Linked DNA regions of Drosophila melanogaster. The protein of the gene in region 1 interacts with the protein of each later gene in a pairwise test. Each region holds a gene or a part of one and is shown in the gene's direction. Other genes may lie near its edges. The genes, in order: CG13474, La and CG5103.

What was found.
Region 2: the proteins of CG13474 (region 1) and La interact in a two-hybrid assay, tested with the Drosophila melanogaster proteins (one large-scale study listed by BioGRID).
Region 3: the proteins of CG13474 (region 1) and CG5103 interact in a two-hybrid assay, tested with the Drosophila melanogaster proteins (one large-scale study listed by BioGRID).

What each region holds. Positions count from the first base shown.
Region 1 is NT_037436.4:14,696,051-14,698,909, reverse strand, and holds CG13474 (uncharacterized protein), read left to right. Parts: upstream 1-1,804; 5' UTR 1,805-1,809; coding exon 1,810-2,256; 3' UTR 2,257-2,359; downstream 2,360-2,859. Other genes in the region: CG17177 (uncharacterized protein), read left to right, coding at 1-1,597.
Region 2 is NT_033779.5:20,343,407-20,354,611, reverse strand, and holds La (La autoantigen-like), read left to right. Parts: upstream 1-4,599; 5' UTR 4,600-4,687; coding exon 4,688-5,662; intron 5,663-5,733; coding exon 5,734-5,931; 3' UTR 5,932-6,219; downstream 6,220-11,205. Other genes in the region: spir (spire), read right to left, coding at 7,443-7,662, 7,721-8,034, 8,101-8,304, 8,368-8,706, 8,942-9,087, 9,353-9,439, 10,665-10,869, 10,940-11,013. UniProt on the Drosophila melanogaster protein: May be involved in transcription termination by RNA polymerase III. Binds RNA and DNA. Binds to precursors of RNA polymerase III transcripts. May play a specialized role during fly development.
Region 3 is NT_037436.4:18,288,691-18,300,560, reverse strand, and holds CG5103 (uncharacterized protein), read left to right. Parts: upstream 1-6,298; 5' UTR 6,299-6,332; coding exon 6,333-7,151; intron 7,152-7,215; coding exon 7,216-8,268; 3' UTR 8,269-8,436; downstream 8,437-11,870. Other genes in the region: CG13700 (uncharacterized protein), read left to right, coding at 1-592, 646-738, 793-828, 911-955, 1,050-1,121, 1,172-1,487, 1,548-1,666, 1,717-1,730.

The sequences.
Region 1 (2,859 bases):
AAAGGTCAATAGGATAAATGAAATAAGTGAAAGTCAAGTAGAAAAGCTGAAAATCAGCGGAGATCTGGAAAAGGACGTGGAAAATGTTTTACCCCAAATTAAAAAGTTCGTTTCTAAGGGCATCAAAAGCTGCTGTGAAAACTTCACTAAATTAATAGAACATTATAAAAAGGATCTACATTTAAAAATCAAGAATCTGCCAAATAAATTAAATGAGACAGAATCTGAAAAATTAAATGAAAGTCACTCTATTCAAAAGAATCTAGGCTACATAGAAAAACAAGTTGAAGAAATAAGACCACTTTTTCAGAAGCTACAAAAATATTTTCGTGATAGTCAAGCAAATTCGAAATGTTGTGATGGCCTAAAAGAATCGTTTCAGTCATTGGAAAATAAATTATCGATAATCAAAAGCAATGGATATAACCAGTCTCTAAAGATAGAAAATCAGCTAAAAGAACTGAAAGATAAAATACAGGAAAATGTAGAAAAGACAAAAGACATAAAGACAACTTTAAGTCACCGCTTTGAAAATATTAAAAATATTCTTGGTATCTGCAATCAAAGCTACATACATCAAAATGTTCCAATGGATACAACTATTTTTCTTGACTTGGAAAAAAATGCAGAAACCTTAGAGAAACTCGCCGAAACGCTTTTCAAAAAGTTAGGCGTCTTGGACATTCATAAACCCTCAATAAATTTAAATGTAACCCTTAACACATGCCAGGAAAATAATGAAATGCTAACCAATATCCAATCTAAAATGGGGTATTTGCTTAAGCAAAATTCTAAAGATTGTTTTGAGGGATCGCCCACAGACTCCAAAAATTCTAAGTCTTTGATTATTAAAACTTGTTCATCTAACGAAAAGCTACAGAACAGTATTGCGGAGCTGGAAAAGGAAATAGGAATCTTGCGTAAAGAACTAAATAAATTCCCGAAATGCTGTAAAAAAATCGACGACCTTATCGTGCATATGGGAAAACTAGAAAATATGATTAATAAAATGAACCAAACTTACAATGATCATCTAAAAGCCAACTCAAATCAACTTAATTCTATAAAAGAGGGCATAGATAAGTCCTTAAGAAATTTGGGCCATAACCATGATGACGATGATAATAAAAAACTTCAGGAGCAGGCAAGAAAACTTAAAAAAGATCTTATAAAAGCTAGTTTGACCTTGAGCATTCTAAAAGAACGACAAGATGACTTATTGAAAGATAATAATAAAATTCAAACTTCACTATACTCTCCTGATGAGATGGATGGTTTAAAAAAGGAGCTATATGAGCTTAGACAGGACATTGAGGGAAAGTTAAAGGACTTAGCTTTAAAGAAGCAAAGCAAAATGGACGCTGTTAAACATCTCGATACATTCAATAAAGAAGTAATTCAGAATCTAGATAAAGCTAAAACAAGTACCCTTGAACACAAGGAACTAGATATGCGGATCAAGGATCAGACAGAGAATCAAATCAAGCAAACAAATGAAATGCTTCATTGTTCAAAAAAGTGTTTGAAAATTAACATGATGAACGATCTTATGGACCAAGTGGAAGACATGGAACGAATTGTAAAGATAAACAAATAGTGTTCTACATCTATTTCTGATCTATGATGTATAAGACGATATTGTTGAATAAAGCAATTCAAATAGCCAATTTTTTTTATTTTTTTTTTAAAATAATGTTTTAAAAATTATGTTGAATAAATTTAATTAATAAAAACTTACTACAAAAATGATTTTAAGATATCGGGCTTTCTGATTCTTTTGTCAGAGCTGTACTGAGTTAAATATAAATCATGCTACTACAAGCGGAATTTACAAAAATCGACGATGCCCTTGACATCTGTAGCTCCATGGAGGAGGATCTGAACGAGTGTCTGAATATCGTAGGGGCCATGATCGAGAAGTACAATGCTCCCGGACGCTACATCATATCCATGGATCCATTCGCTGAGGATTTTCAACTGAGCAATAGCGAGTCCACGGACTTGGATGGGTCGTCTATAGGAAGTTGTGACTCCGAGCTGGACATGCTAAGCCAACTCTACGGAGCCAGAAGTGCCCAGGAGTTGGATGAATCTTACGTCGATGTGCGCTATAAGTTTATCAAGCTGAAGCGGTTCTTCGAGGGTACCTTTACCCATTTTCTAAGGATCGTTGACTGTGCTGATCGTCAAAATAAGATTTCACATCGCATTTTTATGAACTCGCAGGATACCAAGGGGAAGCGGTGCAGGCACTAGGAATGCAAATTTCCTCCAACTATTCCATCAAACTTGCGCGCGTGTGTAAACTGCAAATTGTGTCGACACTTGGCAGGTTTTATTAAAAATTACTGTCACCATTAGTCGAGTTGCCCGATGACTTTCAGCGAAAAAAAGTGGTGCAGGGATGAACTTTCCAAAACTCATTTGGCCTGACATGAAAATGAGGCAAAGTTTTTTATCAGAGCCTCAGTTTTTCTTGCGACACAAGTTGCGCCTGACGTTAAGCACGACGACGATGATGACGTCGATGTTGGTGGGACAGTAACAAGTCAGCTGCATGTTTATGAGCACGACAATGGGTAAATACAAATACGGACATGCGAGAGAATATGTTGGGGGAAAACATGAGAAATTGCCAGCGCAAAACTTGAGATAATGTAATGCAAAAGTGGCCCAGGACCAGAGGAAACTTTTCCATAACGCTTTGCCAACTTGGCTCTGTGTTTGTACTTGGTAATATATTTGTGAGCATTATTTTATTTCGTATACCTGTTACTCGTGAACGGGTATATTAGACTCGCCATGTAGTAAATAATATGCAATATTCGTTAGTCCGCTCGCCAATACATTCATATAAAC
Region 2 (11,205 bases), on another chromosome or scaffold:
TAGGGGGCTAGTTAGTGGATGTCATTATTTTTAAAGTCGTTTATAAAAGTCTTTAGCCTAGTCTATTCGTTGGTACTATTTAAAATTGGCAGCGCGACGTGTGCTTTTATTAATATAGGAATTCCTATGTTTATGCAAAAATTCAATTCTGGACTGAAAATGTTAAAAAGTGATATATTTTCTAAAAATAGATGCATCACATTTGTTTGCTATTGCCGCAATGAGTAAACGCAAAAATATGAACAACTTGGTTTATTTTGCCCAAATAGTTTTCTAGAATACTAAAAATAAAAAACAGACGAAAGTGTACATATTGGCGGATCGCAAGTTCTATATGCCAAACTGGAACGTGTAGTTTTTCACGAATTATTACCGCTCTCATGAGATTGTCAAGATTTATAGGCTGATGAGAATATTTCCCTAAGGCAAGGTCACGTTTTGGTTGCACAAACGCATGAAAATTTCTTAAAATGTCACTTTTTCGCCATCTAGGCACTCGAATACATATACCCGCTACTCTTTTGTATAGATGGGTGATATATACTTTTTCGACAATAAATTGTGGTACGACAATTTGACGTTTTTCGCCGTTTTTCTGCTCTCAGACGATGCACCGCACGCGTTCATTGCTTCAGCGAAACTGCCGAGAAAAGCGGAAAATACCGAAAAGCTGGCGACATATGGCAGACGAATTTTCCACGGCAACCGAAAGTGCCACTCTCGCAGTCATTTTCTGAGAGTCTCGTCGGATCGCAGGAGATTCGAATATATTTTCACATGTACGCGAGCGTTTTCGACCGGACACATCGCATATTTTCATGAAAAATCAACAGAGATGTGACAAAAAATATGAATCCGGGGACAACCTTTTCATCTGCGTTTCCAAAATGAGGATCTTAATTGTATTTCATTGAGAAATAAGCGACACTCGCTGTGCTTTTGTATTGTCTATTCAAAAAAACCACATAAAAATATTTGTGCCAAAATATATGTGGGTTGCCTATTGGATGTGAGATCTTCCATGTTTGTGGATTCAGTCATCAATCGAAAACTTCTTCATATTCAAGCATTTTAGAATTATTTCAGAAAAATTCACCTGTTCCGCTCAGTTTCCTGTTGATCATACAATATATGCCCGTGAATCATAGGAAACGTTTATGGAATGTGTAGACTTGTATAATCTAAAATTTAGAATCGTGCGACACACATTGTGGTTTTAATGGGATTATGGCCTCAGGAAATGTTAAATTCGTCATATTTTTAGAATTTAAGATAGAATATAAATCAAATTTAACCCAAAGACTTTCATTCTGAGACAAACAAGGAGGCTGGAACTGTAAACTCTACTGAATAAAGATGTTGAAGCTTATAGACCGACGGAGAATTTTTGAGCTAGAGTGACCAAGAACTAAATATTTTTTCCACAGAATATTCGTATTCAAATCTGCCGAGATCAGAATGTCGGCAAAAAATATGCTTTATAAGTGCAGCGCCAAACCCAAGCCGAATGTATGTCACTTTCCTTCGCTTCGTTTAACCCTGAAATCACTTTAAGTCCATGGCCGGGCACAATCAAATTTCCGTAGGTGGTGGTGCTCCAAACGATGCATCGGAGGTCAGATGAGCAGATGCATAAATGCAGATACCGAGCGGCACACACGCAGATATGTGGGCACATACAAAGATGCATACATACCCCATTGAAGCTCTCGGAACCAAATTTTAATTAATTCATTAAACTTGCACATGGCGCCGCGCGGATCGGCTATGCGGCCCCATATCCAGATACAGATACAGATACAAGTTTCAGATACAGATACACCGGGCCCACGCTCTCTGAGTATAAGAGACAACTCTTTCGGTTATTAACGATCCGTCGCCGAAGGCGAAATTCAAATGAATATCCCTGCCGCTTCCGGAAATGCGCAATTTGGCGAGTAAAACGTCGCATCCATCGGAGGGGAGCACCCCAAATCAAATCACCGAATGTTTATTTTCGTGGGACACTGGGGAACGTAAACAACAAAGACGAGAGATGTAAAAGAAAGGCGAGTGGATTGTTTTGCTTGGCAAAGTCAGCGGCAAAGACAAACAAAGTCAGCCAAAGACAAACCAAATTTATGCAGTTCTGCCTGGTCGGGACCGGATCCGAATCGCTATCCCTACTAGCTCAGCCGAACTGCACTCAATAAGGCCTCTTCAATGTGTCAATACCGAGATTTACAGGCTGCACAGCCGCCACTTGAGATGCATTTCCTCAGATATATGGACGTAATATAGTTTGATTGCGTCGCTCGCCGTATTTATAGATACTTCGTGGCGGAGGAAGTCATCGGTGGCTGTGGGCACACCGAAGAGGTGAGCGAGTGGGAGTTCCAATAGCTTGTGGGGATCCGCTGTTCTCGACACCAACACACCAAGAACGAGGTCAGCAGCGGAAATATGAAGAAACGCGGTTTCCCAGCAGACACGAGTGAAAATCAGGCGCATGATTTGACGGCCAATGTTTGTTTTGGGAAATCACAGGCCCACATACAGATATTGCCAACATGCTTTCATTAAAGCGTAAGAATAACAACCATAGGGCGCAAAGAGCCAAGTGGTTCGACGAGATCTTACCCTAGACTTTTTCACATTCCCCACATAAATATATACAAACAAATATAACTTTTTAAACCATGAAATAATTCAATTTGATTTAAATAATATTTTCTAGGGTAGCTATTTATTTTGCAAACTGCTTTTGACCTGGTGGCCGAAACCAAGATCATGTGAGAGTAAAGAAAAGCATGAATTTGCATTCAGCTTGCCACCACCTTTCATAGGAAATTCTCTTGGCAGCGGTTCAAAATTGTTCGGGTAATGATGCTTGTTGGTTCTGGGAATCCAATGGGGGAGTTTGGGGCCGGGAGGCAGGTGGCATGCGGCAGGCAGCGGCAGGCAGAACGTGCCTCCGTCGTCGTCCGGCAGTGCATTTTACTTTCGCAGCGAGTGCTAGCAAACAAACGCTTTTCGGGAGGAGCTGGAACGGATGCCCCACGAGGAGCCCTGCTATTGACCCAATGGATTATGCAGGCGGACCTCTGAACTCCAGAAACCGGCAACAAATTACTATTGCACGAGCAGCAGCAAGTTGAACAACAGTTGTGCCGAAAGTACAGGAGTCATTACATAAAATGTATTCTTGAGCTTTAAGCTTTAAATGTCCTTTGTTGGGACTAAACGATTGAAACTGTTTTTAACGTAAATAGGATTTTGTCATGTGTCTAAAAATGTATTAGATTTTCTATATAAATATGTTGCTTAAAAGAAAGTGTTGAAATACAAAAAAAAAAAAAAAAAAAAAAAAAAACCAATAATTCAGTCAACTAAATGCTTCTTGTAAGAGATATCTTCATCGATGAAGAATTTAGCAGTATGGGTATATTAAAATCTCAAGGGGAAATAAGGAAGAAAACCCGCTCTATTATTATATATGCCATATATGTATGTAAAAACCCATGGCGGTTCTTATAGGAAGGCTTGATTGTGTCTGCCGTTGTGGGGATGTCTATGATGCCTCTACTTGGATGACGCATAGTGGGGTGAATTTTCAGATGCCACTGAACCTTTGGCCAGACGAGCAGTTATTGGAAAACCTGATTCATTTCCACGGCTAGATATATTGCAGCCAAGCTGTCTGAAGGGTTTTCTTAACCACTTTAGTTTTTCGCTCACCTTCAGCTGCGTTGCGTTTTATCAAACATTTGTTGATCCGTTTGTTGTTGTTCCCTGTCGTTCGTTGAGCAATAATAGAATAGTGACTAATAGTTTAGTTTTCCAAGTTTCGTTGATTGCGCGACTTATCCACCCTTGTTATTATATATACACAATTGGTTATATAGCAAAAGGAGCACACTTTTCACTATTTATTGCCCGATTTTTTGGTTTCTTTTCTAGGCCGACGCGATTTGAACTGCTCTCACTATTTTTTTCAAATACTTGTTTACTCATATGCCGATTCCGTGGGGCTGGGGTCAACTGGTTGGAGCGCCCGTTTGTGAACCAGGTGCACGTATTTAGGCACTTTTAGCAACTCTCTTTTCCCATGGCAAACATAAATAAAACACAGCGCTCGACCAAAATAGAAACCTAGAAAACCAGGGCTGCAATCGGCCGCAGCCAAACTAAAGATGTGTACGTGCCAACAGGTCCTCGGCATCGATAGGGCTATCGGGGAGCATTCCGTAACTTTGCATCGATAGTTTTGGAGTAAATTGATAAATCACATTCAAAAATAATATAAACCACTTTTCGTCACATATATTTTGAATTATAAGTTTTAGTTTGGTATGTTCTTGTTTTTGAATATCGCGGTAATTGTAAATGAGTAAAGGTTTTTTTTTAATTCTTGTTGATATATTACCATTACCACTACTACAAAAATTAAATAATCAAACGTATATTTTCAAAGCCTTTAAATAATACATAGTCAAGACAAAGACACTAGAATTCTAGGGTCTTTGGTCAAGATGTCCGCACTGCATTTTCAAGTTAATGCTTGGCGCTAGTCACGGTTTTTGACCTGTGCATCTCTATCACGGCATTTCGGGGCTAGTGTTGTCAAACGCCGTGACTCATTTTACCGATTTCACACGTGTTTCAGTGAGCGCACATTTCAGTTCTTTGCGAAATTTTCACAGCTAAAATGGCCGAAGTTGCTGAAACCCCGAGTGTGGAAGCCCAGGAAGAGGTAGCACAGCCCGCCGAGGCGCAGGTGCTGGAGGCGAAGAACGGCGACGCCAAGAAGGACCCGGCTCCCGCAGCAGAGGAAGCCGCTGGCGGCTTCACCAAACAGGAGCGCGCCATAATCCGGCAGGTAGAGTACTACTTCGGCGATGCCAATCTGAATCGGGACAAGTTTCTGCGCGAGCAGATCGGCAAGAACGAGGACGGCTGGGTGCCCCTGTCGGTGCTCGTTACCTTCAAGAGATTGGCCTCCCTGTCCACGGACTTATCTGAGATCGTGGCTGCCCTGAACAAATCCGAGGAGGGCCTCGTGGAGATTAGCGAAGACAAACTTAGCCTGCGTCGCCATCCGGAGCGTCCTATTCCAGAGCACAACGAAGAGCGGCGCAAGGAGATCCAGGAGCGGACCGCATACGCCAAGGGCTTCCCCCTAGATTCGCAGATTAGCGAACTGCTCGACTTTGCTGCCAACTACGACAAAGTGGTCAACCTGACCATGCGCAAGCACTATGACAAGCCCACCAAGTCGTACAAGTTCAAGGGCAGCATCTTCCTTACTTTCGAGACCAAGGACCAGGCAAAGGCCTTCCTCGAACAGGAGAAGATCGTTTATAAGGAGCGCGAGCTGCTGCGTAAATGGCAGGTGGACTACCTTAAGGAGAAGCAGGAGGAATACGCCCAGAAGAACGAGAAGCGCAAAAACAAAAAGGAGGCCAAGCCTGAGCCTGCCTTCGAGCTGCCCAAGAACGCCATTGTTGTCTTCGAGGGCGCTCCGGAGACATCTAGCCGCGAGGAAATTCGCGAAGCCTTCGAGAAGATCAAGGACTTCGAGGTGGCCTACATTGAGTTCGCCAAGGGCGAAACCAAGGGCTCTGTGCGGCTGACGGAGGCCGATGCGGCCGAAAAGTACATTGCCAAGGTGGAGGAAGGCAAGGTAAGAATCAGAATTGGGATTATAACTTTTCCCTTATCAGCTAATCCGTAATTGTACTTGCCTATCCACAGCTCAAGTTCAAAGATGAGGTCTCTCTGTCGCTGCGAAAGGCCACCGAGGAGGAGGAGAAGGAGTTCATCGACAAGGCCATAGAATTCATGAAGAAGCGACGCGATTTCACCAGGAACAAGGGCAAGCGCTTCAATCGCAAGCGCCACGGCGGAAACGACCACAAACATGGCGGTGGTAAGAAGGCGCGTGGGGATTAACTCATCCACCTATATTCCGCCACCCGAGTCTTTTGATCGCAGTAGACCAAGCTTAATTGTTACTCGGTAGATCTAGTTGACCTAGCTTTAAGGCCTTACATATATAATACTTGCTTTCTCTTAGTTTTCAAAATAATCGTTGCAGGTACAGAATATTCTTCAAATATGCATGTATAGTCTGTTACCTAAATAACGAGGTGGGCTCTAATTTATTTTACATAGAAGACTATGAATCCAATTGTTTCCCTCAGCAGAAAGCTACAAATAAAGACCAGTGTGTAAAACCTGAATCTTGTTCTTTAGTTTGTATTTTCATTTATTATTGCTGTTTTGTGTATTTTCGATCTCTTTGTGTGTTCGTGTGTGTATTAAATTATTGTAAATGAATTTAACTTAAAAGCATAAAATTTAATATTACAAGTACTTAAATGCATTTACAATTACAGATAAATCAAACAAAATTGTTCAAAAACGGTTAGAAAAACTATAATAGCAGCTACAATTAGGTAATATAATGTTCGTTAGGGGTTTGCTTTGCATCATCAGCTTGTACAATTATATAGACGTCGCTTACAACTTAGACGCACTTAGGGAGAATTAAAACTAAGCGAATTAACTAAATAGTTTGGGCTGCATAGCAACGCCGACTAAAATTAAATTAGGCTATCAAGTAGTTCTTGCGTTATACATTGACATTGTAGTTAATAGGGGAACAAAACGAAAACTTCACAACGTAAACAAAGATCTGCGCAAGCACAAAAGTTTCACAACATTTTCGGATAACTATTTCAACAATCGAAATTTTTTTTTTCTGAACTGGGAATCGTATTGCGAATATCGATGTATTCTGTATGATCAATACGTCGCTCGTGCTGAAACGAATGCAGGAGCAGGGTACAAGTAAGGTCGAATATATGTGCATTTGATATATGCGGATACAAGAGTTATGATTACATGTACTTAATCAACTTTTACGCATACTTTGAACAGTTATAAACAACGGCATCGCGTTGCGATCTGCGATAATATAATGTGTAGCGACGTGTAAGTTAGCTCCTTTATAAATAGAAAGTGGTGGGGTGCGCTCAAGCGGATCTCTCTGTAGCCGGCAGAAAATGTACAAAGCTTCAGCCAGGAATTCTCGGTATTCTCCTCTGCTTATTCACTAGACTAACACGATTTACAAACGAGGCTCCTCGAGGCTCTATCCTTTTAAGTGTACAACAGTCGATCTAATCCATATCTATGCATGTATGTAATAGCTAAATGTGCAAGTGCGTTCTGAAGGCCCTAAAACAGCCGCGCTGAAACTGAAAATTCTCACAGGTAAGGAATGTGGTCAGTAATCAAATAGCGTCTGTTGTCTGTCAATGAGTCATCATCAGTGTCATGTAGTCAATGGTAGTATGTATAGCGATGTAGAGCCAAGTCAGTCGTTAGAACTCCATTGCAACCATCCTACGGTCTTCAAACGCACTGCGGAGTTATCCTATCTCTGATCTGATTCCCGCCTACTTCCAGACGGGCGTCAGATCCAGGGTGAGATTCTGAATGGTGCGGTTCCGTGCGGAGCTGCGCTTCTGCTTCACGGAGCTCGTGATCTCGTTGACCAGTCCCTGGCAGTCGTTGCACACGGTCACCTGCTCGCCGCGCAGGTTCTCCTTTTGCTCCTGCGTCTGGGCAAGATGGCTGCCCGAGGAGAACAGGTTGAATCCCCTCGAAAAGCGGGATCTGAGAATAAATTACGGTTAATAAATGTGGTGCACCACAACCCAGACAAAAAACTCACTTCCTCTCCAAGGTGCTGTTATTGGAGAGCGGTCGATATGCTGGACTGTGCACGGGCAGACTTCGGGGTCCCTCCATGCTCCTCGACATGGCGTTGTTGTAGTGCTGCTTCTGCTGCTGGTGGACGCCAGAGGGTCGCATGGCCGCGGAATACGAGGACGACATGGTCGCCTGGTCGTGCAGTGCCTCCACGGCCTGTCCAGTGGCGGCCGCTGAGGAGGAGGATGCTCCGGGTCCCACGCTAATGCCGGGCGTGCTCATGTTTGATCTTTGGTGCTTGGGTGAGGATGGGGCACTGCCCACAGTGCTGCGAGTCTGGAATAAAGGTATCAATTTCATTAGTTCCATGTTTACTGGTCGGACTGCTGTTAGGAGGCCTACCTTTCGATCTGACTCGGAGCGCAAAAGACGCTCTATCAACGACTTGGGGAACTGGTCGTCCATGATGTTCCCCGTCGAGGATGAGTGCGCCTGCTGGGCATGATGGGAGGGTGATGGGGTGCTCGAGCTGGCCGGACTGGACAGCAGCGATGGCGAGATCAGCACGAGGGGCACGTTTCGGAAGTGCTCCGAGGGAATTCGCATCTGGGAAGAAATCGAAAATAGTAAATATGCAGCCCTATGGTTAACCATTAACCCGGTACCTACCTTGGTATAGCACTTGGCGCAGACCGTGCGCTGGCACAACTTGCACTGAATGCCCCAGGGACCGAAGAACGAGAACCGAGTGCGCAGGCACAGGAAGCAGACGCGACGCTTTTCAACATCCTCCTTGACGCGCACGTCCATCGGCAGGCCCTCCAGCTCCGCCTTGGTCATGACGGAACGGATGTGAACGATCTCCGCCAGCGTTACGGACAGCCGATCGTCACCCCGTTCCATCCACGTCTGTTTGTCCATGAAGGACTTGTTCCATGGCCCAAGCGAGGATGTTGAACTGCCCTCGTCTGAGGGATGGGTCTGCTCCGCAGGACTTCTCTTAGGCGTCTGCAACGGATTGGTAGATATAGAAATAAAGTTTGAATAGGGTTTAAGCTTTACTGTTCTCATTTGCTAATAAAACGTTTGCTTGAATGGAGAAATGGTCTACAATGAAAGAGTCCAGCATATTGTAAAGTATGGAAGTCCCACCACAGATGTATTATTCTCGAATCAATAATACAAAAGTAGAGGGCACACTCTTTCCTCGATATCATCATTACCATTATGCTGGCGGACTCACCTCCTTGCTGACGTCGTCCGATTGACGCGACTCGGGCCGCGTGGGCGGCATTGAGTGCGTCTCGTCCAGGTTGCTCTGGCATCCAACGATGGTGTGGCGGCGCAAGGAAGCCCTCCTCGACTCGCACTGAGTGGCCAGGTCGTAGGCTGTCAATTAAAGAGAGGAGAACGCATTCAGTCAGGGTCAACGGGGCGGATGAGTTATTTTCATACATGAAGGACAGTGAAGGCGCAGGGAAAAGCGGCAAATGTTAAATGTCAGATGTGTATTTCAAAAGCAAGCTGTCTGTTTAGTAGCGTGATATATACTAGTGTAGCGTCTAAATGCAATTTCGATATCCGATAGGGGGGACAATCATGCAAGATGGCAATGCATTACGGTTTTACGTGCTGTTTCTTAGCAAATATTTACATTCCAGGGCCGTGTCGTAGAACTTGTGGTACTCGTCCTTCGTGAAGGATGGCTCTTCTGGAGGCGGCACCTGCTTTGCTGGCTCCACTGATCGGGTTTCATTTTCGTATTGGGCAGCAGTTAATTTTGTTCGTTTTTCACATATTTATTTTGTTTGTAAGCGTAATTTTTTGTCAAGTTAAAAATACATTATTTTTATACGATTATTGGCAGCCGAGAAAATTAAGTTAGTACCAAAATTAAAAGCCGCTACGGGGTGCCATAATAATAAATAATACTAGGGGCGAATTGCAGTAGACTTTCTTTTATTTCTACATTCACATTTGTTTTTACAAAATATTTCGAGATTTTTTTGTTGTATATTTGTGTGGTTCATTGTGTGTGCTTGAGTGCCTCCTCAACCGATCGTCAATTTTGAATTGTTATTTGCTACTTCGGCCCACACCACACCAAAATTTCTATTTGATTTTTTTGATCTTAGTGCGATAATTGGTAACTTTTCGTTCACTCGATTTTTCTAGGGCTTTGCTTGCGTCATACAAAATCATAAAAATTAATTAATCGATCTAGGTTAGCAGTGTGCTCACAGAAAAACGATCAAATACCTTGGCAAAATAAGTTTGTGTGTGTGTTTTTTGTTTGTTTGTTTTGTAAGGAAAGGAAAAAAGTAAGAAATAAAAATAGTTTAAATTAAAATTATAAAAACTTAAACCACATCACAGACAGTCAGTTGCTTCACCACAAAAAAAAAAAATTAAAAGCAATTTTATTCTATATGTCTTGCGGTTTAGTAACTTTCTGTCTGCAATTGTAAACCAAAATACGTAGTGAAAGACGTAAGGCGATGGCTTGGCCATGGCATTTAAAGCTAGAGCATAAAGTAAACCGGTTTTAAATGGAAAATTATTTATTTTATACAAAGGAAGTTAGTTGTGGCAAGTGCCTATTTAATTAGCGCAAGAGTTTCTTAGTTCATAATTGGGAGAAAGCTTCATAAAATATTGTTGAGTTGTAGCGACAGACTTCATTAAAGATTTCGAGGATCAGGAAGTTCTTTCTTTCCATAAATATTTCGAAATAAGTATACATTGCTGTGGAAATACTTTTTCAGCTTAAATACTTAACCTAACCCGTAAACTTAAATTAAAAACCATCAAATGTTAGTTTGTCGGACCGATTTTTCTCGAATTTCAATCAAATCCACACCGCCCCTGTACTTTGTGCTCTAGTGGCGTGTGCTCCCAAAGATCCCAAGTGGATTATAAATATACGGACATATGTTGCATAATCCGTGCTAGAATCGGATACTCACTTGTGCGTCGGGGCCGCATCAGCGACGCCGTCTCCCGGCAATCTTGTCGTGCCTGACTGGGCACCATGTAGCCACCGAATGGATACGGCGGCATCTTGGGCTGCGAGCAGCGGTGCATCTCGGCGAAATGTGGATGATGCTGGTGGGTGGCCGCTGTGGAGTGGGAGCTGCTGATGCTGTTCTCATCGTAGAAGAGATCGTCGTCCTGGAAAATAAGAAAATCAGGAAAAAAGGTCAGATCCCCTTGTAGGTTTTTTGGATTCCGCGAAACCCACCTGAAACTTGGAGAAGTCCACTTTGATGAGCCGCTGTCTGGATCGTGACAGCGTGGAGTTTGCACTTGGAAGCACTGTAAGAAAAACAGATCGGAGTAACAATAAGTCCTCGTTTCTCAGGCGAAAGTGGTGGGAAAGTTGTAGGCTCAAATGGATTATCTAATAAATATCGTTGGGCAATGGAGCAGGCATCTCTGAATAACTCGCAATAAAACTGGATTTTCCAGCCCTTTTTGCCCGCTCATTGCGCAATTAGAGGTGACATG
Region 3 (11,870 bases), 3.6 Mb from region 1:
ACATCTGGACAAAGAGAGATGGAATCGTCATCATCTAGTTCGCCCGGGCAGATGTGCCAAAATCAATACGGCTATGGTCAATCTCTTCCGGAAGCCGGATCAAGATCGGACGAGACCATTGTCAACGATCCCAGTACTACCAGTTCAGCTCCATGTGAGAGTGAGAGTCCTTGCTGCTCCAAAGAGACTTGTGGCTGTTGCTGTGATATCGCTTCTAGTCAGCAATCTGGATGCTCCCAATGGGATCAGACTTATCCTGGCCAGCAACAGCACATTTTTCCTGTTCCAATGGGTGTGGATCCGAGTACCGGGTTTCCCATCTACTGCTACTCTACCCCACTAAATTATCAAGGCAATGCTATGTACTCAATGCCAGGCATGCAAATGGATGAAAGTCAAAGGGGAGGCGGTGGCCAGAACAACCGGGAAACTGGTACGAAATGTCAAACTTCATCAGAATCTTCAGAGGAAAATTGTCATTCAAATGGGGATAGTGCTTCATTTCATCAAAGTCCTAACAATTTGGACATGGAGGCCTTTATGCAAAAGTACCAGAAGAGTGTTCAGCAATGCTATGCCACTGCACAACAAGGTAAGCATGATAAATAAGCAACCGTGGATGCAATGTAATATGCCGAATTTTAGGAATTCAACAATCATTTGCTAATGCTCAGAGTCAGCCGTATTTCAATAACTTTGCGCAGGGAACTCAACAGTTTTATAACAATGGTACTGAGGGTAAACATGAATTCGTAATCCTAAAACAATTTGACCACATTTTCATCATTTAAGCAGGTACGCGTTCAATGTTTGCCGGATGCAATCAAGGTAAGTTTTAGCACTCAGTAATTAACTCTTCATCTTATTTTAATAATATCCAACTGTTTTAAAATATATTAATTATTTTAAGCCATTCAAATAGGTATGCATGAAATGTTAGGCAGCCCCAATCAAGGTATGCTTAATTAAATTATTCACTTTCATAAATGTCCTAATGACATTCTATCGTTTTAACTATTGAATTATTTCCGAAAACCAACATCTCTCAGATTGTCAAGGCATGCAACAGGCTTTCAGTTCTTCTTTCGGTGCTCAACAATATTGTAGCAATGATGGTCTAGGTACTTACTTAGCATACCAAATTTTCAAATGGTTACCGATTTTCGTTTAGGTGCTCAACAAATCTTTTCCTCATTGATGGGAATGCCTTCCCCTAACTGGTTTGCCAGTAACACTGGATTTATGAGCGACTCTCTGCAGAACCACACAGTATACTCCTCAGACTACAAACCCTTTTCCAACGATGGCAACCACTTTAACCACTTCCCCAATGGGGGCATGGACATGGGCTTGGCCACCGAACCCTGTAACATCTACGGTCCAGCTGGATCCCCTGGCCTGGTTGAGATGGGCAACGGTGGTCAGGTCTATGGCATGGGTGGTGCCTGCGACATGAATATGAGCGCTTACCCTCTCAGTCAAATGAGGTAAGAAATATTCAAAATACTAAACCATGCAATATAACTATTTGTTTTTACCTGCGTCAGTTATTCAAGTCCCTATTCCTACGATATGCCTTGTTCCACACTTAACTATAATCCAGCATCAGGTATTCCTATGGCTACTCCTCAAATGCAAGCTAGTCATATAAGTAGTGGAAATCCAGGTTTGTAACGAATAATTGTTGTATGTTTTTACAATATTCGCGATCAACAGTGCAACAGGGCTGAATCGGAAGGAACCCCGAGAGTGAGATGGTGGAATTGATACAATAATTATATATATTATATTATAATACTCTTAAACAATAAAGGCAACCAAAAAAAGAAATATAACAACTTCCTTTTCAATTTATAATCTTAGAAAACAATGTTGAGTTAATAAAAGTTAATAAAACTTAAAATAAGTTCAAGAACAAGGTATTGATCATTACTTAAAACGTTTCATTACTATGACTGCTGAAGATGAAGACTTTGTCGAGCAAGTTTCTCAATAGAACTTTTTTGCAGTCCAGCAATGGTAATGACTCACAGTAGGAATGTTCCACCTTCCCAGATCCTGAACTTCGCATGGCATGCACTTTAAGTCAAAGCTAATTACAGTGAGCTGGTCTATTGATTTTAGCAGTAAAGTACACTAACCCGTGAGGGAACCCTCGCATTGGACAAACAAACGGGCGACATCAGTGACCCAGTTTCGTGCAAAAACCAAGTCGGAAATGTGGCAAGCTGAAAAAGGGCCAGGCAAACAACGCCCCCAAATGCGAAAGGCCTGTATGTGGAGCGAAAGTGAAACGCAATATGGCCACAAACGACCACATTCGTTTAAGAGGGGATAGGAGTATCTGTGACTGTATTCACTTGCTTTGTCCAGGAAAAGAGGCAAATCAAATATCAAAGTGCCGACAATGAAAGCTCTGGTTAATTGTTTGATGTTAAAGACCGAGGCAAAGTGAAGTTAAGTAAAGACTTCTTGAGATTCTCGGATTGACATTTACGGCTGACTGACTATTCATTAATCTCATGATTCATAGACCCAACTCAATGTTAGGGGCTTCTAAACTATTCCCGCCGAAAAAACGTGTGTCAACACCCACAAAACCACAGGAGGTTGTCTAGGGTCCACAAACAACGCGGATAAGAAGGAATTTTCCAATGATTTATTCTTACGAGGCAACACCTTAAAATAGTAGAACAGAGAAGTCATGAGTTTGTAACTCCTTCGGTACCCGAATATGATTAATTGCCTCAAATGAAATTTGTTTCTGACCATCAGTTGAACACAATTGCGCTTCATTATCAGCGTTTTGGCCAGTGACCATCAGCGGCAGTCAATTACCGGTCGACAGTCTCGTTTCTACATTTCGATTCTACCCACCAATCTGCTTCACTTATGTCCACAGTGAAAAAATAAAGTTAATCTAATTTCTAAATTAATATTATGAATATTTTTAAATATCTGGTTCTCACTTCCATTTAAATATAAATAAAAATAACATCTTCTACCAGTATTTTTTTCGGGTTATTTTATGACATGAGAGTTTAACATAGAATAAAATAATGAATACGTACAATTTCTGACTGATATTTTCCCAGTGCATTCCTATATATTGCCTGGGTGTTGTTGTCAATGTCCTGCTGCGCTATTATTTGTCTTGTGTGAGAGACTCCGACTCGGTATAAATTGGTTTACGCCACTTTTGGGTCATTAACGAAATTGAAAATAGAGACGGACATAGGGACAGAACTTGCGGGGAGGGAGCTGTAGAAGAAGTGGAAAACGGAGACCACCGGGCTCCCATCAAATCAGTGCCACCTATTTTGGTAGTTGGCCAATCATTAGACACCAACGGTGCTCGAACTGTTGGGAGTCTAGGCGATATTTAAGCGTCTCCTTGGGAGTTTTGGAGCAAATAGTGGTGTTACTTTCAATTTACCGCCTTAAGCGATCGTTATTGAAATGGCTTCAGCGTAAGTAATTAAAATGCGACTTTATACATGATTTAATGTCCTTCTAGTATGAAAACCCTAGAAATCGTGTAACAACCATCATAACTTAATAATGCAACAGCAATCACAATAGAGCATTGAAATGACTCCAGATAGTAATGCACCACTTTCGGAATTCATATAACCCTTTTCCAAGCCTACATCTCAATCCGAATCGGTTGGTGGAAAAAAACCTACAGATAGAATTATCTCCGCCACGAGAGCGACTCACTTCTAGCCCGGGGATAAACACATATAATTTAATCAAGGGCACGACTTCTACTTCAAGTAGGTAGCGACCAAATGTCCAGACAAGACAATAAAAGGGCGAAAAGGGATCACGTCGAAAAAAAAAGGAGAAATCAAAGCGTAACAAATTCGCCGGCAGGACTTTCACTCGTGGAAAAGAAAGGAAAGTAGAGGACACGGATTAAACAGCAGGCACGTGACTTCTGAGGCCGAGTCCTTTTGTTCAGAATTGAAAGCCGATTATACCCAGGGTAGCGCACATACATAGGCATTTGCACTTCATTATTATGAGTTATGATGGAACGCAGGCTGGTCAAGCTGGTCCTCGCACAATTATGTCACCCTGGGCAAAATTCATTATTACTGCCCTGCCATGCAAATCGATTTGTCGTCTATCCGTCGATATTTCTTTTGACATCTGAAGGGTGTGACCAATTTGCATCGCCGAACAGGACACGCGTCGCAATCAGATCAAAGGGAGGGGAAGCCTAGATAGGTCCTATCCTATGCAAATGGACGGAATCAATAAATGAGCTTGGACATAGGTCAATCGCTTCCACTTAGTCAAATGTCCTATTAAAGTCGAGTGTGCCTGCTTAGCCTGGGAAAATTTATTCCGAATCCGAATGCGATTTTTCATGCTCTTCACATCCTCGATTGGGAATGGCAGTCAATCGTTAATTGAATTGTTTATCAGTCCTAAAATAAATCGTATAAAATGTGATACTTCACTATTACCAGGCAAAAATGTTTACCATTATATAAAAGACTTAAGTCTAAAATATATTGTTTTTTACTTATTTGAGATGAAAGTATAGTTTATAACGTGAGCTTAAAATCTATATTTATATACAATGGTTAATACATTTTGGTGGTTTTTGTGCTGTTACTTAAATTAAATTGTACAGGTTATTTTTGAAAGAATTTTATTATTCTTGAAATGTTTTGCGTTTTTGGATTTTTAAGGTAGTTTTTCGGTTACTTGGCACCTGTTGAGCTTCTTCACTTGCCTGAGAAACCCGCTCCATAGCTCAACTGAATTCAGAAATGGCAGAAAAGACGAACGCGTATTGGGTTTGCTACTGGAAACAACGAGATCTTGATGAAGGAGGATTCTGAGCAGCCAGAAGGAGCCAGAAGGAGGGTTCGCAGTCCTCAGAGGCTTCTTCTTTGAAAACGATGTATGTGCCTACCGAAGCGGAGGGTTCAGCGAAGTGTTCCAGAGCCTTGATCAGGAAATATATTGTATATCATCTTTAAATTTTTCTTATAAATTACTCACTTATTTTAATAGCATTTTTGATTAGGCCCCTTGAAATCTCCAAATCAGATGTCAATGCTATAATCCCCATTTCCCACGGTTATCATCTGGTGAAACTCTCTTAAAGCACTTCCACTACATAAATTCGCTTGAATTCATACTCGAAACATTAGCAATGGATACTGAACCCTTTGCTAAGTGGCAAACATCAGGGAAATATCGCTGGGCGTTGCGAATGACGACAAATTACACACACCAACTGCTGGGCCCGTGTCTTCGGTTGGGTATTTACTGGAAATTTGCAAACAATATTGATTTCGGACCGATCAAAATAAAAATTAATCAATGCACTTAAAAATTTTGAAAAACACACATAAGGAAGCAAACTCAATGACGTGGAAAAGGGAAAGGGTGTGGTGTGGAGGGAACCCCTTTTTTTAAGCAACCCTCCGGCTGACTTTAAAGTGCTCGAAAGAAACTTAACTAATTTATAACTTATGACTGCACGGCCATGGACAATTTTCCATGCCACTACAAAGGAGAGCAAAAGCCAAAATTTGACATGAGTAGCGGTCGCTTAGCCGAAACCATGTGTAAACCCCTTTTTTTTTAAATTCAAAGTAAACCCTTCAGTCGGGACATGTGAGTGTGCACATGTCAGCAAGCGAATTAATCGAAGAGAAATGATTTATTTAGCGCTCGGACAGACGGAACGCTTCGATGATCCGGGGAAAGGGTTAGAATCCAATGCAACCCTCGTGCAATTCCGATTCGCACCCAAATCAAATTTAAACTGTTTTCAAAACTGCACCTCTTGGCTCATTGATGGGCATTTATCGGTCCAGAGGGTTGGTCCTGCACTCTATGTTTACTTATGCGTTTTCTCGCTGTGAGAACTGCAATTTTTCACCGTAAATTCACACTGCATTTTTTTATATAACCTTCACTGAATGAAACTTTTTACTGTTTTGAGTTTCTGCCGTCAAAATATTTACGACTTTTGATTTGTAATGACCTTACTTGGATGTTTGAGTGATTCGTGTGGGAATGCTGTTTTGATGCTTTCAATTTGCTGAAAATGTACAATTACTAAAAAAAAACAAAATCAAATCAAAAAGCCATCCATGCATTTTACACGTGGGAATTGGAAGAAAAAAGGACTAAACATTTCAAAATTCTTCTACCAATTTGTTAAAATAAAACTTATAACTTATATAAATACATTATATAATTTTTACGCCAATCGAAGGGAAATTTGAAATGTGGTAAAAATTACAGCACAACAGTCTGTCTTTGATTAGTTTCTCAAAATTAATCAAAATTTGGTTGTGAAAATGTCGAACGCTAAGCTGGACAGTAAGGTCGTTCAGAACCTGAAGGACGTGGCCCAAAAGCTGCGGATCCACTCGATCACCTCGACACAGGCGGCCAAGTCGGGACATCCGACGTCCTGTGCCTCGTTGGCCGAGATAATGACGGTGCTGTTCTTTCAGCAGATGCGCCTAAATCTGAAGCATCCTCGCGATCCTTCCAGCGATCGATTGGTTCTGTCCAAGGGACACGCTGCACCCATTCTGTACGCCGTTTGGGCGGAGGCTGGACTCTTCCCGGTGGAGGAGCTGCGAAATTTGCGCAAGGTGGACAGTGATCTAGAGGGTCATCCCACTCCACGGCTGAGTTTCGTCGATGTGAGCACCGGATCCCTGGGACAGGGCATCTCAGTGGCCGCTGGAATGGCCTATGTGGGCAAACACCTGGACAAGGCCGACTATCGTACATATGTGATCGTGGGCGATGGCGAGGCTACCGAAGGAGCAGTCTGGGAATCGCTCCACTTTGCCGGCCACTACTGCCTGGACAACCTGTGCGTAATCTTCGATATGAACAAGATCTTCTGCTCGGACATAGGCACTGAAATGGAGGTTTATCGGGAGAGGTTGGACGCCTTCGGGTTCAATGCCCTAGTCTTAAATGGCCACGATATTGATGAGCTGGCCAAGGCCTTCATTAATGCGGCCAGCACCAAGGGTAAGCCCACGGCTCTTTTAGCCAGGACGACTAAGGGAAAGGACTTTCTGGGCATCGAAGGAATCGAAGAAATGCATGCACAGCCACTGGGTAAGAGGGCCGAATCTGCAATCAAGCATTTGCAGGTATGATTGAAAGACCAATTAATTGCATTAACGGTATGGTTAATGGTATCATGTGTTTCCTCAGATGAAAATCGCAAATCCCAACGTCCGCCTGACACCCAAAAAGGTGGGAAAGTGCGGCCACGCCCCCGAGGTGCATATTAACAATATAATGCTGTGCAGTCCGCCCAATTATCGGCTGGGAGATTCGGTAGCCCCACGCTTAGCCTACGGAACCGCCTTGGCCAAAATCGCGGCTGATAATCCTCGGGTAATTGCCCTTGATGGCGATACAAAGAACTCGACGTATGCGGACAAGATGAGGAATGCATTTCCAGAGCGTTTCATCGAGTGCTTCACCGCACAGCAGAATCTGGTGGGCGTGGCCGTGGGAGCCACCTGTCGACGTCGCACTGTGGCCTTCGTTTCGACGTATGCGACCTTTTTCACACGGGCCTTTGATCAGATCCGCATGGGCGCAATTTCGCACACGAATGTTAACTTTGCGGGCTCCCACTGTGGCTGCAGCATCGGCGAGGATGGTCCCTCCCAAATGGGACTGGAGGACATGGCCATGTTCAGGAGCATTCCCGGGAGCACGGTCTTCTATCCCACGGACGCAGTTAGCACGGAGAGGGCGGTGGAACTGGCTGCCAATACTAAGGGCGTGTGCTACATCCGCACAACGTATCCGAGCACAACGGTGATCTACAACAATGACGAGGTGTTTGCCGTGGGACTGGGCAAAGTGGTGCGCCAGAAGCCCTCGGATGAAGTGCTCCTGATTGGAGCCGGCGTCACATTGTACGAGTGCCTGGCCGCAGCGGAGAGATTGGAGGAGGATTGCATTACGGCACGAGTGATCGACCCCTTTACAGTGAAGCCCCTCGATGTCGGACTAATCGTGAAGCATGGAAAGCTGTGTCGTGGAAGAATCGTCGTGGTGGAGGATCATTACCAGCAAGGCGGATTGGGCGAGGCGGTCCTCAGTGCTCTGGCCGACTATCGAAACTTTGTGGTCAAGCATCTCTATATTACCACTGTACCGAGATCAGGCCCTCCTGCTGTTCTGCTGGACATGTTTGGGGTCTCCTCCAGAAATATATACAAAGCAAGCCTGGCCATCATGAAGAAGTGAGCAGAATGTTCGAAAAAATCGAAAAAATTAAGAAGTGTAACTTTATAATTTCAAGTACTTTCCGTAATCAAAACTTTTAAATATCTCTCTCAACACAAATTATAACTGTAACTATATTTATATTTTGGTTATCATGCAAATTGAATAAAAAATTAGCAAGAAGTTAATAAAAAAAACTATTATCGCATTGTTGGACATTTTAGTCACCTGTATTTATTTTTTTATGAGAATTAAATGATCTTTATTGTATTCAAAGTACTTTGTTTTTGGACCGAAATATGAACCACTCCACTTCTTAATAAATCAAATATTCCCTTAATAAGAAATCAACCCTTTTTTAAATGTGACCTGTCCCTTTTTCATTGATACGTGCTCTTCAGCTGCGGTATTATATATCGCTCTACCTGAACTAATAACCGTGCAACGTGAAATGCACTACATGCTACTGAAGTTCAAAGAAAAATTGCATTTGCCAAAAATCAATTGGGCGGAATTAATTTCAGGAACTTAACACAGAGGATCATTTACTGCGTTGGCGGTACTTTTCGATTTTGACATATTTATTTGCAGTGACCTTTTCGCAGGGGCGCATCCAATCGATAGCCTCCTCTTCCTATTGTTGATTTAGTTTTCGATACGGTTTGACTGTATTATCAGGCAAATAGTTGACACTATTTGAACAGGGAATTACCCCTAAGGAACAGGAGAAATTTTAAAATTAATTACAAAACTATAAAAAAATTTATTTAATATATGTTCCTCTAGTTATAAGCTTAACTGACAACTTTTTCTGTTTATATATGTATAACTAAAAGATAAATACAAGTATATATAATAGGAGCCTTATATTAATAATGAAACAAAAATATTTTGTAAAAAAACAAGGGTATCTCGTGGTCGAATCACTCCCGTTTCTTTTAGTTCTATCTCGCCTGACCAAAGGCCACTTTAAATTATCCGTAATGACATCCGTTGCCGTCTAATGTGGCATTCATCCATTTATTCATTTGCCTCTGAGGCATCAGAGGTCCATTTATTGTTTTTCGCTTCCTAATCAGTACTCTATATTGTTTGATGGTTTGGTTCAAAAGGACAACAGGATGTGCCTCTGTGTGTGGTTAAGGGTTGGCCAAGTGGACAAAGTATCCCTTCCGATTCGATCAAAATTTACGATAAATGCTTTAAAAATTCTATACACCTCAAATACACAATGGACGCACAGATAGCGGAGAAGTTTTTCAATTTTTGTTAAGTGAGCATGGCTAACTAGATTGGTTAGAGATCATAAATTCAACAAAATGAAAATAGATTAGATGACATCATATGTGGAGTGCCCATTGTTCCCGCCACACATGTGTAGGAGTTGGATGTGTGATTTTGGGGTAGATTTATGAGGGAACGACTGCACCTGCTTGAAAATGTCCCCCACCGCCACACAAACATATATCATTTAATGAGGAAAATCTGTGCCGCAAAATTTGTAAGCAATTATCTGCGGTGAAAAAAGAGCCCAAAAACAATCATCAATCTCTGTCTGCAACTGTTAAAAGCACATGCATTTAAATTAGACATTTAAGCCAAGCGCCCCCGCCAGAAAATACAACAATCCCCAATATTCAAATAGAACGAAGTCAGTAAAAAAAAGAGAGGCTTCAACAGTGAGCTACCCTTTAAAAAAAAACATTGGACAAATTAGAAAAATAATAATAAAATTTTATACAAAATTCAGTCAAAATAGCAATATAGGGGAAAAAATAACACATTTCAATAGTTATTATTACAAAAATCCGCGATTGTTGAACTATGAAGTTTAAAACATATATACCCAAATATCTGTGAACTATGAGGTATAAAAAGAGAAGTGTCAAAAGCAAACACCGAGCAGGAGTTTCGCCCGGAAACGCTTAATAGGATTTTTACAATTTTTACTATTTTCCTGTGGCAGCTACTGGTTACCAGTCAGTCCCCCTTTCACTTTACTCTCTTCTGCTTTCTCCTCTGTCTTTTTTTTTTAATTTTCCAAATATTTTGCCTTTCACCGGCTGGAAAAAGGGGTTAGAAAAATGCCAAAAGAGCGCACCCCTGTGTCGCAATGGAAATTCTTTTACACTTTTGTTTTCCTTTTTCCTTGGCTGTTGTTACTCACTCGCAGGATATGGTTATTCTTGTTCCTGTTGTTAGGGTTTCATGCACCGCATAACATTAAAATTCAGATTTTGATTGATCATTCTGGTTGAAGCGAATTAGAGGGTATGAGTTCGCGGTAGTGGAGGAATTGAGTGAAAGGCTATTATGCACAAGATGTGAGAGGAGTATGTTAAAGCCTTGTCTAACAATTTTGTGAATTGGTTATTTAAAGGTTTTAAGTGAAGGAATTTGAATGTCGAAAAAGTAGACTTATTTTTTGAATTTCGGCCTTGGTATAAAGCATTAGTGAATGTAAAACAGTTTGGAAACTAATAATTAATCCGAATAATTATTGTGCAAACATGTATTTTGTTTTTAGAACTAAGTTAGACAGATACCTAGAGACTATTTTAGGTCTAGTAAAATTGTTAATATAAATTTCACATTTCTTTCATTTAAATAACAAAATGGTTGCTTGCATTTTAAAATGGTGCTAAATGACTTAAGCTGGATTTACATAAACTTTCGGATGCATTCTATGAATATGTGATTCAAACATAAAATACTTATACATACGGCAATTCCTTGAAGACACACATTTAGAGGGCGTCACGCTAACCAAACTTTCCCAGGGAAATTTACAAACATTTGCCAAACTCCTTTCTTTATTTTGACTTTCACACAACCGTCAGTGAAATCCAAAAAAAAAACCACTTAGGTATGCAAAGAACGGTGGCTACGAAAATTCGATTAACAACAAATGCATATTGATGGAATAACTGAGCAATTCTAATGAGCCACAACAGCGACGGGGCAGCATAAAAAAAAGCCAAACAAATTGCAATTGCCAATGGATGAAGGTTTTTCCAAGGAACCACAATATTTGCATTTGATTGACAACAAAGTTAATTGAGTGTGAGCCGAGCATTTGCATAGAGCCGAGTAAAAACAAACATTTATTATATTTAACTATGATTTTTTTTAAGCGTTGCTGGCTGTGTAACCCTTTGGGTGCTTTTAGGGGATAGAATCATTAATTCCTATGACAAGGCTGAGGTGAGGTGACTGATGATGGGGTGTTGAGTCGAGTCAAGACAAGGTGAGAGATCTCCTCTCCCAGGCCTAAATGTCATTTCGATGAATTTATAATTGGAAATTACGTGAATTTTTCTATTCGGGATTTACATTTTTATTCTCGTTTGCCTGGAAATTAGCATATTTTTTCGCTCTCTTTGGCATATCCTTTGTGTGTGTATGTGATTTAATTAATGATCTTATGCAAAGTGCTCCTCCGTTTCTGTTGTATTGGCCATGCATGTGTTGGCAGCTAGCTGCCGATCATTAATCAGGTCGTCTAAGTAGCTGCTTGAACTCATTAACCCTTTTGTTCGCCCAGACAGCCCAGCGAAATGGCAACAAAAGTTTTGTCTTATATAAATATTTGCATTGCCGCCAACCATGAGAACGGAGTTTCC